2 linked regions of the Drosophila melanogaster genome follow. The protein of the gene in region 2 purifies or fractionates together with the protein of the main gene of each other region. This does not show direct contact. Each region holds a gene or a part of one and is shown on either strand. Other genes may lie near its edges.

Region 1 (6,296 bases), 5.2 Mb from region 2:
GTTCCAGTTCGGCCTCGTTCTTCAAGGGAAAACTTTTGGCTAATTTGCGTGCGGCAACTAAAACATTTTCCTGGTAGGCGGTTTCTGTGTGGCTCAGTTCGGTTAACGCTCCGTTCGCAACTAAATTTCCATTCAACTGTCATTTGCGAGGGAGCAAGCCCCCCCGACTGGATTTTAATTTCACTGTCATAAGCAAGCGATTAATGACTGACAAGTAATTAAATATGCGGCGATAAGGCGGCTGGGAAAACCCCATCTTCATCATCATCATCTTTGTCGAAAAAAGGCGGATGGAGCTATCTATCATCGGGTGGCTGTGATTGGGCCATAAAATTAAATAAACGGCTGACTAAATTCCACTATCAAATTGAATTCGGCAATTTGTCCCTGCACACTCTGCATCTCCGTTTACTATGCAAAGGATCTCGAATGGAGGGCAAACTGTTTATGTTGCCTGCTTGGCCCATAAAAAAGAGGCGGACTGCGGTTCTCCGCCGGAAATCTCATTTTGTTTGTAAATCAGCAATTTGCAGCCGGGCACAGGACGTTCTCGATGTCGTTGTCGCCCCACCAACACACTCGAAAAGTGGGAGCACCCACATTGGTACACTGCGCAAAAACCTCATACTTCCTCATTACTAACATACATGCATGAATGCAAAGTGCTTTCTATTTCCTGCTCTGTATATGGTTGATACATAGTTACATCAGTTACATCAGTTACATAGTTACACAGCATGACTAATTTTTCTCAGTGCACACACTCACATTTTTAAACGCTCAATAAGATTGGAAAATTGATGGCGGTATTGCTCATTGGTTTGGTAACGCTCTTCGCCCCGCTTTTCCGGGCACCCTTTTGCTTATCGCTCGGCAGGACTCGCCTGGCAGGAGCAGGCGACTCCACCCACTTGGTAAGTAAGTAAATCCCTCATTTTCAGTGGAAATAAAAATTGCCCCAGCAGCGTAACGCAAAATAAACACATTTAAGTTGCAAATTGAATTTTGCATAATCCCAGGCGCCGCAGCGATGCCACTTGGGCTGGGTTTCTGTCCTGGGCTTCTGTCCTGGATCTCCTTATCGCGGGTCCGTCTTCGTCCTGTGCTGTCTGTCGCTCCTTTTTATGTTTTTTTTTTTTTTTTGGTGGCACTGGCACACTTCACATCAGCGCATGAGACGGAATTTCTGATTAGTTGCCATGGATTCCCCTTCGGCGCCCAACACTTTGCACTTGTTTACCCTGCTTTGACTTTGCCGGAATTCTATTTATTTTCGAAAATTTCTTTTGGGACGCGACACTCTGCCCACATGAATGTCACACACGCAGCAGGCAGGACGCCTCCTTTTCCTAGGCGTGTGATCCTGGGGGATTTACAAAGTAGCCGCGTAATTGAATTTACTTTATACTTTGCCTGATTAGAAAAAGTTGATTGGATTTCACGCTGCCTCATATGGCGGCACAAAAGTTGACGCAGTTCCTCCTCTTCTGGTCCGCAGATGAATGTGTGTGGGCCAAGTCAATTAATGCACGTAGACTGTAGGGATTTCCATATCATATATGTATATACGTATCATATACATATTTCTAACTATCTACATTTTTGAGGACATGTCGCCAGTCTGATTTATCTTTTCTGGCGCAGAAGAAGCACCAATTCTAAAAATAAATTGGCACAAACAAAGATGCATTGAACGAAATTTGAGATAGCTGGTCACGGATTTGAATTTGGTTGACGTAATGCCGGCTTGATTGCACCTGCAGAGCTGGCTCTTGGCAACCAGATGAATAGAAGTCTGGCTTTGATAAGAGACAAGAGGGTAGCAAGGCGATAAGAGGTAGTCCGGCACAGATGGACAGATGGCGCGATCGCAGCACCTGAGATACACCCAGTGACCCCCAAGCTGCACCGCGATATCTCCGAGCAGATTCCGAGCTCCGGACACTGCGATCGTAGGCGGGACTCTTGGGTATAAAAGCAGCCAGGTGGACGGCAGTGAGGCAACAGTCTTTAGGCATTGGATCCACTGGGTGCATCTGATCCGGAGCAGTTGAGTGTCAAGTGTAGAGTTGCAGGAATCCGTCAACATGAAGATCGCCATCGCATTGCTGGCCTGCCTGGGCCTGGCCGCCGCTGCCAGCTTCCACCAGACCCACGAAGTCAAGATCGCCGACAAGGCCTTCCTGATGAAGCAGAAGTTCCTCTTCGAGATCGTCTACCGCGTGGAGGATCCGCTGATGTTCGAGGACCACATCAAGCAGGGCGAGAAATTCTACTTTGAGGAGTCCTACTACACTGTAAGTGGATATAGCACTGGCTGAAGTTGTGCCTCTCCCTAATCACTGATCATTGTGATCCCTTCCAGCACTACGACATGTACATGAAGAAGTTCTTCGAGGCCTACAAGGCTCACGCCCTGCTGCCCAAGGGCGAGTTCTTCGGCGCCCTGGTCATGTCCCACGCCAAGCAGGCCCGCGGTCTGTTCAACTTCTTCTACTACGCCAAGGACTGGGAGACCTTCGCCGCCAACGTGGCCTGGGCCCGCATGCACGTGAATGAGGGCATGTTCGTCTACGCCCTGACCATGGCCGTGATCCACCGCAACGACTTCCATGGACTGATGCTGCCCTCGATCTACGAGATCTTCCCACAGTTCTTCTTCAACAGCAAGTTTGTGTTCGAAGCGGAGAAGTTCGACTACGAGATGTGGATGAAGATGACGATGTACGAGAAGGAGTACATGGATGTGTACTACAAGACCAACGGATACGACTACTCAACCATGTACCGGTCCAGCGACTACACCTACATGAAGGACTTCAAGACCTGGCAGTGGTGGAAACTGATGGGTCTGGGCGAGCACTGGTACACCGAGGACAAGTTCATTCTGCGCGAGAACATCTACGAGTTCAACCAGGAGACCAAGTGGCTGTCGATGATGAAGGACGTGAAGAAGTTCTACATGCCCGTGGACTACACCCGCGACCTGAACCTCTACAACAAGGAGTCCAAGCTGTCCTACTTCACCGAGGATCTGGGCTGGAACGCCTACTGGTACTATCTGAACATGGACTACTCCTTCTTCCTGGACGGCAACACCTTCGATCTCAAGAACGACCGTCGCGGCGAGTGGTGGCTCTACAACGTGCACCAGCTGCTCAGCAGATACTACATGGAGCGCCTGTCGCACGGATTCGGCGAGATCCCCGAGTTCTCCTGGTACCAGCAGATCGAGATGGGCTACGACCCCCAGCTGATCTACTACAACGGCATTGGCTACAGCTTCCGCAAGAACTACTACGAGATGGAGACCTACGCCAACTACGATATGCTGGACAAGATCACCGGCTTCCTGAAGCGCATTCACAACATCGTCGAAATGGGCTACTACAAGACCGCCGATGGCCACACCATCGATCTGCGCAAACCCGAGGCCATCGAGTTCATTGGCAACATGCTGCAGGGCAACGTGGACGCCATGGACAAGATGTTCTACCAGTTCTGGTACATGCTCGCCCACATGTACTTCGCTGACGCCGACTATTACCAGATGGACGTGTACCCCAACGTGATGCTTAACTTCGAGACCATGATGCGCGACCCGATGTACTACATGTTCTACAAGTCCATCGCCCAGGTGTACTTCCAGTTCATGCACTACCTGCCCAAGTACACCAAGGAGCAGCTCCTGATGCCCGGCGTGACCATGAAGAACGTGGAGGTCAGCGACCTAACCACCTACTTCGACCTGGTCGATTTCGATGTGACCAACATGCTCAACGACAAGATGATCTTCCAGGACGGCAAGTTCGTGTGGGACATGTCGCTGTTCGCCCGCCAGATGCGCCTCAACCACAAGCCCTTCACCTACACCTACACCATCGAGTCCGAGAAGGTCGAGAAGGTGGTCATCCGCGCCTTCCTGGGACCCAAGTTCGACGAGTTCGGCAAAGTCATTTCCCTGGCCGAGAACCGCATGAACTTCATGGAGATCGACGAGTTCTACTACGAGCTGAAGGCCGGCACCAACAAGATCACTCGCAAGTCCAGCGAGTTCTACTGGACCGTCAAGGACCGCACCACCTACACCGAGCTCTACTACTACACGATGATGGCCTTCGACGGCAAGTACGACTTCCCCCTGGACATCAGCGAGCCCCACTGCGGATTCCCCGACCGCCTCGTCCTGCCCATGGGCTGGCAGAAGGGCATGCCCATGCAGATGTTCTTCATGGTGGTGCCGTACGTGGCCCCCGCCCACGAGCAGTTCTCCACCTTCGACTACACCTACTCCTGTGGTATCGGATCCGGAGCGCGCTACGTGGACAGCCTGCCCTTCGGCTATCCCTTCGACCGTGCGATCGACGAGTACGAGTTCTTCGTGCCCAACATGTACTTCAAGGACGTGTCCATCTACCACGCCGACACCATGGAGCCCTACTACAAGTACAAGAGCTACTCCAACTACGGCCACTTCGACTACACCTTCTTCAACGATTACTACACCAAGTACTTCAAGTTCTGAGCGTCGTCGTTGTGTGTGCGGCTTCGATTGCGAAATCCGGAAAACGATCACGGAACGATCTACTGAATGAGCGCGGATGTTTTTAGAGTGTCTGATACCTAGCTAGTAAGGTGTGCAAAAAGTCTAATAAACTTTCGAAAACCAAGTAAAAGTGGCCCTGTTTTCAATATATCTAAAGAGGACCCCACAATTTGAAAAGGAAGGAACGTTCCTCATCGGTAGAAATATACTTTCGGGGGTCATTTATTCATTCTATCAATGTAGTTGCAAGGCAGGCTACATATATGAAAATAATGATACTTTTAAAATTTATTGCAGATGTCGGGACGGCGCGAACGCCATTCCCGGCTACCAAAAATTACACGCACGAGTTATTCACATTAGGAATAATCGCAGAGGTCAACTCAGCCGAGGTGCAATGGCCAAGCCTCACTCCGGAGGAACCGCCTTCGTGATCACGGTTAACCTCTACGCCAGGTAAGTATGCTTTCCTCAGCTCAGGGAATGGGTTTCCATGAGCTGATGGCCAGAAGCAGTTGGGAATTATTGCAGTGAAAGTGCGTGAAAGTCTTACCCCCGAAAGTATGTTAGCAAAATGTTACATCTGCAGTTGGGTTGATTTTTGTAAACTGTGCGTTGATATTGTGGTTCTTATCTGCTTCCACCCTTATACATATTATATGTAACCTTTGGATTTTACTGTTTCATTTAAATGATTATATTAACGAGCGAATAATGATAAGAATAATTTTAATTAAAACTAAACAATCTGAGAGGCCCACAATAGTTTTACAAGCCACGAAAATATCAGCAATAAAATGGTGAAAAATCGCCGGAATATGGTTAACCTGACAACGAAACAGAGCATCTTCTATACGGAATATTTATGGGGTAGTAATAAATGATTTTGCAGAATTCCATAGGCCGCAAAAAACTAATAATCGAAATAGTTTCGGTAACTCGATAGAAAGTTCGATGGTGTGAATGGATCAGCGGGAGACTGGGGCGCCGAAAGTGATTTAATTTATGGCAATTACAAATTGTTATTAGAAATTTGCGGTCAACGAGGGCGCACACGACCGCAGGTGAATTTGAAATCAAATGGGAAAATGCGAAATGAACCAGGCTGAAATAGCAAAAAAGCAGGAGAGCAAAAATTATTGTTGACATAAGCCGCATATTCTGTGCGATGTGCGTGAATTGTTTGCTGTGTGTTTGTTTGTTTGTTTGTTTGCGGGCCACTCGTGTCCTTTTGCATTATTCCAGCACATATTGTGATGCACTGAAGGACTCGCTGCAAATGCATAATTAAACTAGCAAACACGGCCATCAATTTAACCCCAGTGCTTCACTGCTTCTCTGTCGCTCTGTTTTTGATGAGCACTTGACAAAACGCTAATGAAAGTGCCGGAGGGGGAGTGTTTGTGTTTTCGCGGCATTTTAATTAATAAATGTCCATCCAGTTTGGCCGGGTAACCTGGCCAACCGACCGCCATTGAGCGACCGACCAACTTTGCCACATTAGCTGCAATTCAACTTTATCAATAGGCTTCTAATTAACTGGCACACACACACACACACAGCTCGTCCTGAAGGACCCTTCTGCCCACAACACTTTTGCGTTGAGTTTGCTGATCTAGTTTTCGGGTTTCATGTTTAATCAGTTCAAACGCAATTCCGCAGTGAAACTATCTAATCCTCTTTCCACTCCTCAGTCACGTATTCCGAGAACATCTACCACGGAAACACAGTCATGGGTGAGGAAGTAGTA
Region 2 (9,738 bases):
CACACTCGCGACATTGTCATTGTGTGCGCCGTGCCGACTCGCCTCACACTCTCGCTGTTGTCTTGAACTTGAACTACACGTGGAGGGCGTGCATGGGTTTTCGACTCGCTCGTCGGGCAGCAGCAACACGGGCTGCCGTAAGGAGGTCGTGCGCGAGTTTTCGACAGCCTCACAATCAATGCGCGTGTTGGCTCGCTCTTCTTCTTCTTCCTCTCACCCCACTCTCTTGCTGTCGCTCTCTGCAATGAGTAAGCAATGTTGTTTGCGGTGACTGTTGCAGTGGCAGCAACAACAAAAACAACAACGCCCAGTGGGTGGGCGGGGTGTTGGTTGGATGGGCCAAACGAAAGGGAAGGTTTCCTGGCTGCGCCATTTCTTAATTCTGTATTTCTGAATTGTATGTACATCAGTACATATGAATGCTTGTACGTGCATATTGAGATATGTATACAGATGTTGAAAAAGTGAAAACACGTCATTGGACTATGGGGAATTTGATCTTATTTGTTAGCAAAAATGTGTTATTAAAAACGTTGAAAATTTGAAAATTTGTTTCTTAACGGATTTTAAAATGTTTACGAGATATTTATTTGCGACAACAAATTCGAATTCCCTATAGTGCATTGTGCTTCTGAATTTATGTACACACATATGAATGTATTCGTATTGTAGAATATAATTCTGGTATTCAATTTCGCCAACTAGCGCAAGCTGACTTGGGAATATTACGCCACATTTTCCAGCTTAGCGATTATGAAGCTCCCCCCGACACCATTCTTTGTACATCAACCCTTGCGACTATAGTATGCGTTCTCGCTCATCGTAACTGTAATACTCGCTGCCTGCCTGAGTGCGTGTCTTTGCTTTTTGACCTAGGCCAACCCAACCACTTCGCCCACGCAATTTGTGCGTGGCAGCGGCGACGCACACTGCGGCAGAGGCGTCGACAGAGCGGCGGCAGAGCAGCAGCTGCGCAGCCTAAGCTCAGACTTCGTGTCTAGACCTTCGCTATATAAATACAACACCAAAGTAGAATGCTAAAATTTCTAAATCTGGCATATTTCGTTCAGTCGTTCGTACAGCTCTCGTTCTCTCATGTTTCATATGCAAAGATTCTATAGTAAACTGACTTTGTTTTCAAAAATATATAACAAGTACACGTTTTCAAAAAAGAATATCTATATATTTTAAAACATTTAGTATGTTCATAATTTGAGCCTTAATAGTCGAAGGTTAATAATTGTGCTTTAGACTGGAATTTTCAATCCTTCCGGCCATATTCCCCACCATGGAATTTCCAGTCACTCCAATTTCATTCGCTTAATTTCAATATCTTATCGCTGTTGATAGTTCTCGTTTGATAAGTCTGCCTAGAGCCCTAACTTTAGCGTACAATTTCATTGAGGGACATCCTATGAATTGAAAAACGGCGAACGTGTCGTGTTATATTGCCTTATCTTATCGGGGCTCATCGAACCTTAGCTAGAATATGTATGTGAAATGTTAACGCGATCCTCCGGTTGGAATAGATACTCTCGACGGGAGCAGAAGTAATTTTATAAAAAAATCCGATTCGAGGGGGGAAGCGAAGTGAAAAGCTTACAATTTGCTTATATTTAAGTGTTCAATGACCCCATCAAAAGTCCACAAAGAAGACACCAAAAAGCAACACCGAATCCAAACCAACTCAATTTATGTATCTGTATCTCTGCGTATGTATCTCCACGTGTAAAATAGCTATGCATGTGTAAATAGGGTGTATTTTTGGAAGTGAACCGAAGTGAATTTAATTATAATTTTAATATAAATACTTCTTTTAGTTTAGTTTAGTTTCGTTTGAGCGTTTCACGTTCAATCTGGTATCTGTTTGTATCTAGCTTTCATACTGACCGCCAAGCAACTTTACTGATCTATCCAAACACGGCGATCACTTCCATTAAAGACCAGTTTTAAGTCGCTTTATTTCAGAGCTATCCCAACAAAATAACGGCACTTTAACTTTTCCGAACCGCAGCTGAATCCCCTCCCCTCGTTTTTCCCATTCTAGCTGCCCCCCGTTTTGGGAAGCAACTCATAAGAGATAATTGTGTCTTTCCCCCTCAAAAAATATTGTGTCGTTCATACCTTCAGAAACTTTTTGGTCGGGCAACCCAAAAGAGCACGAGCGCACGAATCGGGGGATCGGGGGATCGGTGATCATTCTCTGCCCTCCAACAACACCGCACTCACTCAAAAATAGTTTTTGTGTCGAATGTTAATGAACTTTTGCGCTAGTTTAACGCACAGCCAGCCGAATAAACATTCAGACACAATAACAACGAAAGCCGATAAAGTTTTTTGAACCTGCCTTCACCGAAACTTTTGTATTTCAACATTTGCTTCTCGTGCTCATTCTGTTTTTTGGGAGGGTTTCTTATAAATGTTCGCTTGTTGAAGGTGGAAACTGGTCGTTGGCTTTCTATAGATGGACTGCTCAAAATATATCCCTGAGATTTTGTAGCCTCTAAACGTATAGTTGCCGCAATTGTTAGTTAATTGGTATGCTAAGTGTGGCAAGCAAGTTGGACTTTGGTACTTTAAAGAATAATAACTATAAGACTGCGATAAGAACTATCAGAACTTATTGCCTAATTCGTTGCATTTATGACTCAAATGCTAGAATCTTATCAATGAAAACCCAACTAATTACATCACTTAAATGAAATCACTTCAGAGTTCAAAGTTTATTCAATGCTTGTATATGTACATATTTTCAATTAGTCTGAAATAATAAACGTCGCAGATAACTTAGATACCAATGAAATTTCCCTGAGCTCGGGGAAATTTTGGTGCTCCATAAAAGAGAATGTCATCGGAAAAGTCCGAAACCACTCAAACTCAAAAAAAAAAGAAACACTCGAAAATTTCCCTTGTCATCGCACTCAAACATTTTCCAATTGAGGGAAATTTCAGATCCAATGGGACCATTCTTGTTGGTGGTGGTTGATTTTTCCGTGACAGGGTTTGAGGCAGATTTTTCGGGAACTCACCCACCAGTCTCCGTTACACCATCGAACCGAAAACCTCGGGAGCGGCGATGTGAACATAATCTGAATCCCATTCTACTCCGTTAAGTGTTGTTTGTACGGGTGTTGTGCGTGTGCGTGTGCTTGTGTGTGTGTGTGTGTGTGTGGTCCACACCTCGAAAATGACCGACTTTTCAATGAACGATATTTTGAGATCATTCAGAAAAATGCGTATGAACAAGGGCTCGGGCCAGGGCGGTCAGCACCACCAATACCGCAATCATCAGCACCAACAGCAGCCTCCGCAAAATATGCAACACTACCAACACACCTATCCCGTGCAACAGTCGAAGGACTTGAAGAAAATCATCAAAATCATCAAGAAGAACCTGATCAAGGAGAAAATCACGCGTCAAATGAAAATCCTTGTCTAAAAATGTCATGAGACGAGCTAAATGAATGAATAAATCTTAAGACTGCTGATATACAAATCGAGGGACTGATACTGAAAAACTGACACGAGTTCAGCGCTAAAGTCTGATTTTGTAAACTCAAATCAATGAATAAATTTACAAGTATACACATTGAATAAGAAAAGATCTCTTCAAACTTATAAACTATATTATAAATTAGACTTGCTTACAATTGAATGATTTGACTTGAACAATCAAAAAGTATTATTAGGAGGAAAACCTGTATGGAGCAGTAGCAAGATGACTGAAAGCAAGAATGATACAAAATCTTGGGCACCCAAACAAATTTGGATTAAGGATGTTCTCAAGAAATCGGGCACGGAACTGCTCGATATATCCAAGAGTCCCGCAAAGGCTGTTGCCGTCAAAAAATCGCCGGCGAAAGGTAATTGAGATGCTTTTCCTAAAAATTCAGACCGAAAAAGTTCCCTCACGACGCCATTTTGTTTTGGTATACGCAATTTTTGTTTTGGGGGAAGTTGTGGGGTTCGTTCATACTATCATAACAAAAAAAAAAAAAAATACAACAGCGCGACTGATACAGAAAGTGCGAGCGAGCAGGATGGCAACGGGAAATGCCGGTTGGAAACCGTACGATTCGTAATGCTATCTCCCAAATATCCCAAGTGGGACATTTTCGAGGCAGGGTTCTCAATGAAATTTTTCCCATTTCCTCTGGCTCTCACTCTCCTGCGCCTTCGCTTTTCCTCCCCCCATAAGCTCTCGCTAGGTTTTCCTTATTTTGGAAAACCCCGGCCGGCAATAACAGAAAGTGCGTAGCACAAATTCACGGGGTGGGTTTTCCCCTTTACGCCCTTTTTTCCTTTGGCTCTTACGAGACTTTTCCTAACCACCCGTATTGCACTTTCTATCTGCTTCCGTGTTTTTCCTGAGACGCAGATTGTGAATTGATGGGGGGCAAAGGAGTTAGACCTTATACTATGGTTAAGCTGGCTTTGTAGAACCACAAAAACCAAACAATAGGTTGCTAATATAACTAATAAGCAGTATCTAATTTATAATTTCTTGTATTATTACTTAAGTCTATTTAGAACCAACTATTTTGGTCAGGTATCAAACTAGTTAACTATGGTCAAAAATCTAATGCGGCTCCTTCTTTTTCGCCCTCTTCCAGATTCAGCCACAACCAAAATGGTTTACTATTCCGCCAACCAGCTGCTTATAAAAACGGAACAATCTAGTCAGGCGCAGTTCTGCCTCCAGGTTCCGCCTCCACTAACAGCGACGACCACGAGCGTGGGCCTAGGAGTTCCGCCATCCGGCGGCCAACAGGAGCACTTCGAGCTGCTGCAGACGCCGCAGCAGCGACAAATGCAACTGCAGCTACAGGACCAGCACCAGCAGGAGCAGCAGCAGTTTGTCAGCTACCAACTGGCCATCCAGCAGCATCAGAAGCAGCAACAACAGCAGCAACATGAAAGTATTACGAACGCAGCACCCACAGCAGCTCCATCAGCCCAGCGGATCAAGACAGAGCCCGTCGGCGGATTCCCAGCGTCGGCAGCCGTGGTGTCGCAGGTGCGCAAGCCCAGCGCCAGCAAACCGCAATTCAAGTGCGACCAGTGTGGCATGACCTTTGGCAGCAAGTCCGCCCACACCTCACACACCAAGTCGCACTCGAAGAACCAAGATCTGTCGCTTAATGGCGCCTCTGGAGCCGGCGTTGCTGCGCCCGTCTCAACCGCGGCCATCGAGCTCAATGATGCCGGTCTGCCGGTGGGCATTCCCAAGAGCCCCACCATCAAGCCGCTGGCCAACGTGGCCGCCGGAGCAGATCCCTATCAGTGCAATGTTTGCCAGAAAACATTCGCCGTACCCGCCAGGCTGGTAAGTGTCACGAAAACAGAGATTTGAAATATTTGGACCACCATATCAGTGATATTAATAAGTAATATATCTCCTTCGCTTTTAGATCCGCCACTACCGCACCCACACTGGTGAACGGCCATTCGAGTGCGAGTTCTGCCACAAGCTGTTCAGCGTGAAGGAGAACCTCCAGGTGCACCGGCGCATCCACACGAAGGAGCGTCCGTACAAGTGTGACGTCTGTGGACGGGCATTCGAACACTCCGGGAAGCTGCACCGCCACATGCGCATTCACACCGGCGAGCGGCCACACAAGTGCTCCGTGTGCGAGAAGACATTCATCCAGTCCGGCCAGCTGGTGATCCATATGCGCACGCACACCGGCGAGAAGCCGTACAAGTGCCCGGAGCCGGGATGCGGCAAAGGTTTCACCTGCTCCAAGCAGCTCAAGGTGCACTCGCGAACGCACACGGGCGAGAAGCCCTACCACTGTGACATCTGCTTCCGGGACTTTGGCTACAATCATGTGCTGAAACTGCATCGCGTCCAGCACTACGGCTCCAAGTGCTACAAGTGCACCATCTGCGACGAGACGTTCAAGAACAAGAAGGAGATGGAGGCCCACATCAAGGGCCATGCCAACGAAGTACCCGACGACGAAGCGGAGGCGGCGGCTGCGTCGGCAGCAGCATCAACGTCCGCAGGCTCCTCCGCCGGATCGCCGTCCTTGCAAGGAGTCAGCAGCAACTCCGAGAGCAGCAACCACTCGCCGCCCAGCTCGCCACCGGCCACAAAGAAACCTCGCCAGGCTCGCCAGCCGCGCGTTTCCAAAACCGTTGCAGCCACCCTTTCCATCCCTACCTCCTCGCCGCTCTCGCCCAGCTCACTCAGCTCCACATACTCGCCATCGGCCAGCAGCATGGCCTCGCCACCACCCACATCGGCCCACTACCTGCCCGTCCAGATGGAGGCGGATGCCTTGAGCCGGGACAGCGGCGTGTCCAGCGCCCAGCCCGCCCACAGCACCTATGCAGACGAGGAGCCCACAGATTTGAGCATGCAACAGGTCCAGGGTCAGCTGCCAGAAAGCACTGTGGACTACTACCAGGCACCGCCAAGTCTACTCGAACTGCAGCCACAACCCGCTGGTCTAACCATCAATCCTGCCCTGCTTGAAGCGGCCAGCATTGCGCGTCGCCATGACGACAACGATGACCAGGTGCAGGATGAGGATGTGCACGCAGCCGCCTGGCAAATGATGCAGTTGTGCCGCGGCCACGGCTCCTTACCCCCAACGGAGCAGCCGGCGCCAAGCCACCAGCCACAGGTGCCCACTCTGCACGTCAGCGATCTAGCGGCTAACTACGATGACACCCATGAAGCCACCGTGCTGATCGAGCACTTCAAGCGTGGTGATCTCGCTCGCCACGGGCTGCACAAGGGCTATGCACCAGTGCCCAAATATGAGTGAGTATTTTGGTCCCCCAAGCCGGATGCTTGTGTTTTTGTCTAAGAGTATAACTAAATCGAATTGCTTACTATTCCCATCAGATCCGCTCTACCCAATCCGGACGTTGTGCGACGCGTGGAGGCGGCCATCGGCCTGCGTTCCAGCACGGAGTCGCCGGAACGTAGCTCCTCGCCGGAGAGCGACTCCCTGATGATGGCCGACCGGAACGTGATGACGCTGCCGTTGCGCAAGCGCAAGCACTACATGAACAAGGGCGACGACGGTCAGGTGGATTCGGAGAAGGCTAGCGGAGATGGCACCTCCGCCGCCGGTGGTGCCGCTTCCGTTGGCGCCGGGGATGGACCCGGGTCCAAGGTGATGCGAATGAGCTCGGTCATTCAGTTCGCCAAGGCCTCCTAGGGGTCCAAGGCCGATCCCCAATCAGCATTAAGACTGTCCAAACAAATTCTAACTGAAATTAGCCTAAGTTTTTTCTCTGAGGTTCGGGGTTAGGCCTGGAAAAAGAAAGCATAGAAACGTATGGATATGGCAGTGAGATAGTTTTCCAGCAGCGAAAATGAAAATGCCAAAAGTATTAAAAAAGGGAAAAATTTGTTTTAAAATTAATATTACCTCCTATTACGTTTTATTGGCTTGATCCGAGTTTTGTTGAATGTTTGATTTGAAAATAGTTTCACCCATATTGCAAAATTTCATTTTAGTTTGGCATATACAATGTAGGTATAGTTTGTTTTCCTGTGTTGTCCACTTAGTCAAATTGCAGCAATTGGCATTATGCGTATTAAGCATTAGCATATAACTAAGTTAATTATATATAAAAGATCACTTAACGACGCCCAAACCCAAACCCAAACCCAAATCCAAACCGTACACAATAATAAGTTACGCGCATAACTACATATATACACATATTAATGAGAACGAAAAACCATGGCCATATTGGCGCTTAATATTTATAAAATACATATAATACTTATTTATTATGAACTCTGCTCGCCAAACTTCTTCCTTCCCCTCCACGATTAGTGTCAACGGCATCTTTGACATCATGTACCCATCATTTTATATGCATTTTATACACTAAATAAGGGAAAACTGAGGAAAAAGGATCGGTAACTTTAATTTTACACACGGAGAATATTGAACTGATAAACAAGAAGAAAGCAAGCATAACTACGTTTATATACATTTTCAAACCAGAAGATAACAAATATAATTAAGAGCGTCAGCATAGTTTTTGTAAACGCAGAGTTAATACATAGATTTAAATTCTAAAATCAAATATTGCATGAAAAAACGCAAATGAAATCTGAAAATCAATAAACAAGCGTGAAATAAACCAATTCGGTGTATGTGTATTTTAATGGGGCGTTTTAATTTAAAAAACTTACCCATTTCGCTTGAGAAATCGCAGATGAAGTAACTCGATCCAATTCGGTGATGAAAATGTAGATGCACCAATGTTGGAGGTTAATAACCCTCGTTGGAATATTTTACCATGTTTGCCACCTCATTGAATGCGAATAAAACATCGAAATTTCATTACTGAATGCATTTTTATATATCATTCACTTGTGACTATACGAATGGTGTGCTAAACCCACCACAGTTCGATTAGCTAACATTTTGATTATAAAAATGGTTTTACAATTCATTTGACTGCTTCAACTAGACGCAGTCAGTTTTCCTGTCTGCCTTTGTATAAATGAAATATTAATTAAATTTTAAAAATCATGTACAACGGGCAAAGCTGCCAAACGAGCAAGGCTTCGTTTGCGGTGGCTAGAGAGATAAACAAATTATGATACAACTAAGCAAACATTGCAATTAGTATAAGAGATAAGGCAGCCGGCACAAACTATGCACTTAAACTAATTAACATGATGGAGGAGGGGTGGGACGACGCTGGGAGTGCTGGGGGGGGGAGGAGTTGTGGCTTATTGCAGAAAACTAAACCCTGTTTACAAACTAATAATGCAAATCGAATAACTCTCTTCTGGCCATTGAGCATCAGATGCCAATGTAGGAGCACAGCACGAACACGGCGAAAATCATGACAATCAGAAAGACGATGGCAATCCAGGCGGGGATTGTACCTAAAAAGAAGTTGGCAGTGAGATAATTTCCAATTTTACACCAATTTTATTGCTTACGTCTTTGGGACAGACTGTGGATGCAGACTTTGTTGTCCACCGAAATGGACAGAACGGCTGCCTCCGTGTCGCTGGAAATGGGCGGTCCCTCCTCGTTGGTAATAGGCAGGAACTGGAGGCCAGTTACGAACATGGAGTGTGCATGGGGAATGTGGAGCACGCGCTGCAAAACGTAAGCAAAGAATTGGAGTTAAGACTATTAACGTACACTTTGATTAGTTGCCTCTGCTCACCTGCAGACTGAATGCAATGTACATGGATACGCTGCCTGAGAACATCGTGCCGACGGCCACGAATCGACCATCATCCCGCACTGCCAGTGACGAGAGGCTTTCGTCAATGGCCACAGCCTGACGCAGTTGCCCGCTGGCACAGTCCCAGTGCTGCAGGAAGCCACGCTGCTTTCCCACCTTGCCCAGCGGATTGGCAATGGTAAAGAGGCGGTAGTTATCCTTTTGCGCCTCCACGGTTCCGTAGCGGCACCGTTTGAACAGGTACTTGGCCCCCTCGGGCGTTTTCCACTGCAGCTTGTGTTGCAGCTGGCCGCTGGCCAGGTCCCACACCAAGCCCTGTGCATCCTTGGAGATGCTGGCAATTAGCTTGCTGTCGGGACTGAAGTCCAGGTCATCGATCTCCTTGCTGTGTGCCGCCAGCTCGGCGGCCAGCGTCATCTGGGGGAACGTCCAGACGCGCAGTTTTCCGTCCGTGCCGCCAGTGGCCATCAGACGGCCATTACCGCTGATGCGCACCACGCGCTGCAGGGGCTCGGCGCCCTTGAGGAAGTCCGTCTGGATCACATCCGCCGCCTG

What was found.
Region 1: the proteins of Kr-h1 (region 2) and Lsp1beta purify together in Drosophila melanogaster (affinity purification with mass spectrometry, with the first as the bait; one large-scale study listed by BioGRID). This does not show direct contact.

The regions. Positions count from the first base shown.
Region 1 is NT_033779.5:896,645-902,940, forward strand, and holds Lsp1beta (larval serum protein 1 beta), read left to right. Parts: upstream 1-1,855; 5' UTR 1,856-2,087; coding exon 2,088-2,297; intron 2,298-2,365; coding exon 2,366-4,525; 3' UTR 4,526-4,672; downstream 4,673-6,296. UniProt on the Drosophila melanogaster protein: Larval storage protein (LSP) which may serve as a store of amino acids for synthesis of adult proteins.
Region 2 is NT_033779.5:6,088,382-6,098,119, forward strand, and holds Kr-h1 (kruppel homolog 1), read left to right. Parts: upstream 1-3,030; 5' UTR 3,031-3,187; coding exon of another isoform or gene 3,188-3,439; 5' UTR 3,440-3,718; coding exon 3,719-3,863; intron 3,864-4,613; coding exon 4,614-5,326; intron 5,327-5,411; coding exon 5,412-6,772; intron 6,773-6,856; coding exon 6,857-7,175; 3' UTR 7,176-8,117; downstream 8,118-9,738. Other genes in the region: CG45075 (uncharacterized protein), read left to right, coding at 3,188-3,439; CG9175 (uncharacterized protein), read right to left, coding at 8,787-8,872, 8,930-9,092, 9,163-9,738. UniProt on the Drosophila melanogaster protein: Plays a general role in the hierarchies of gene expression leading to metamorphosis.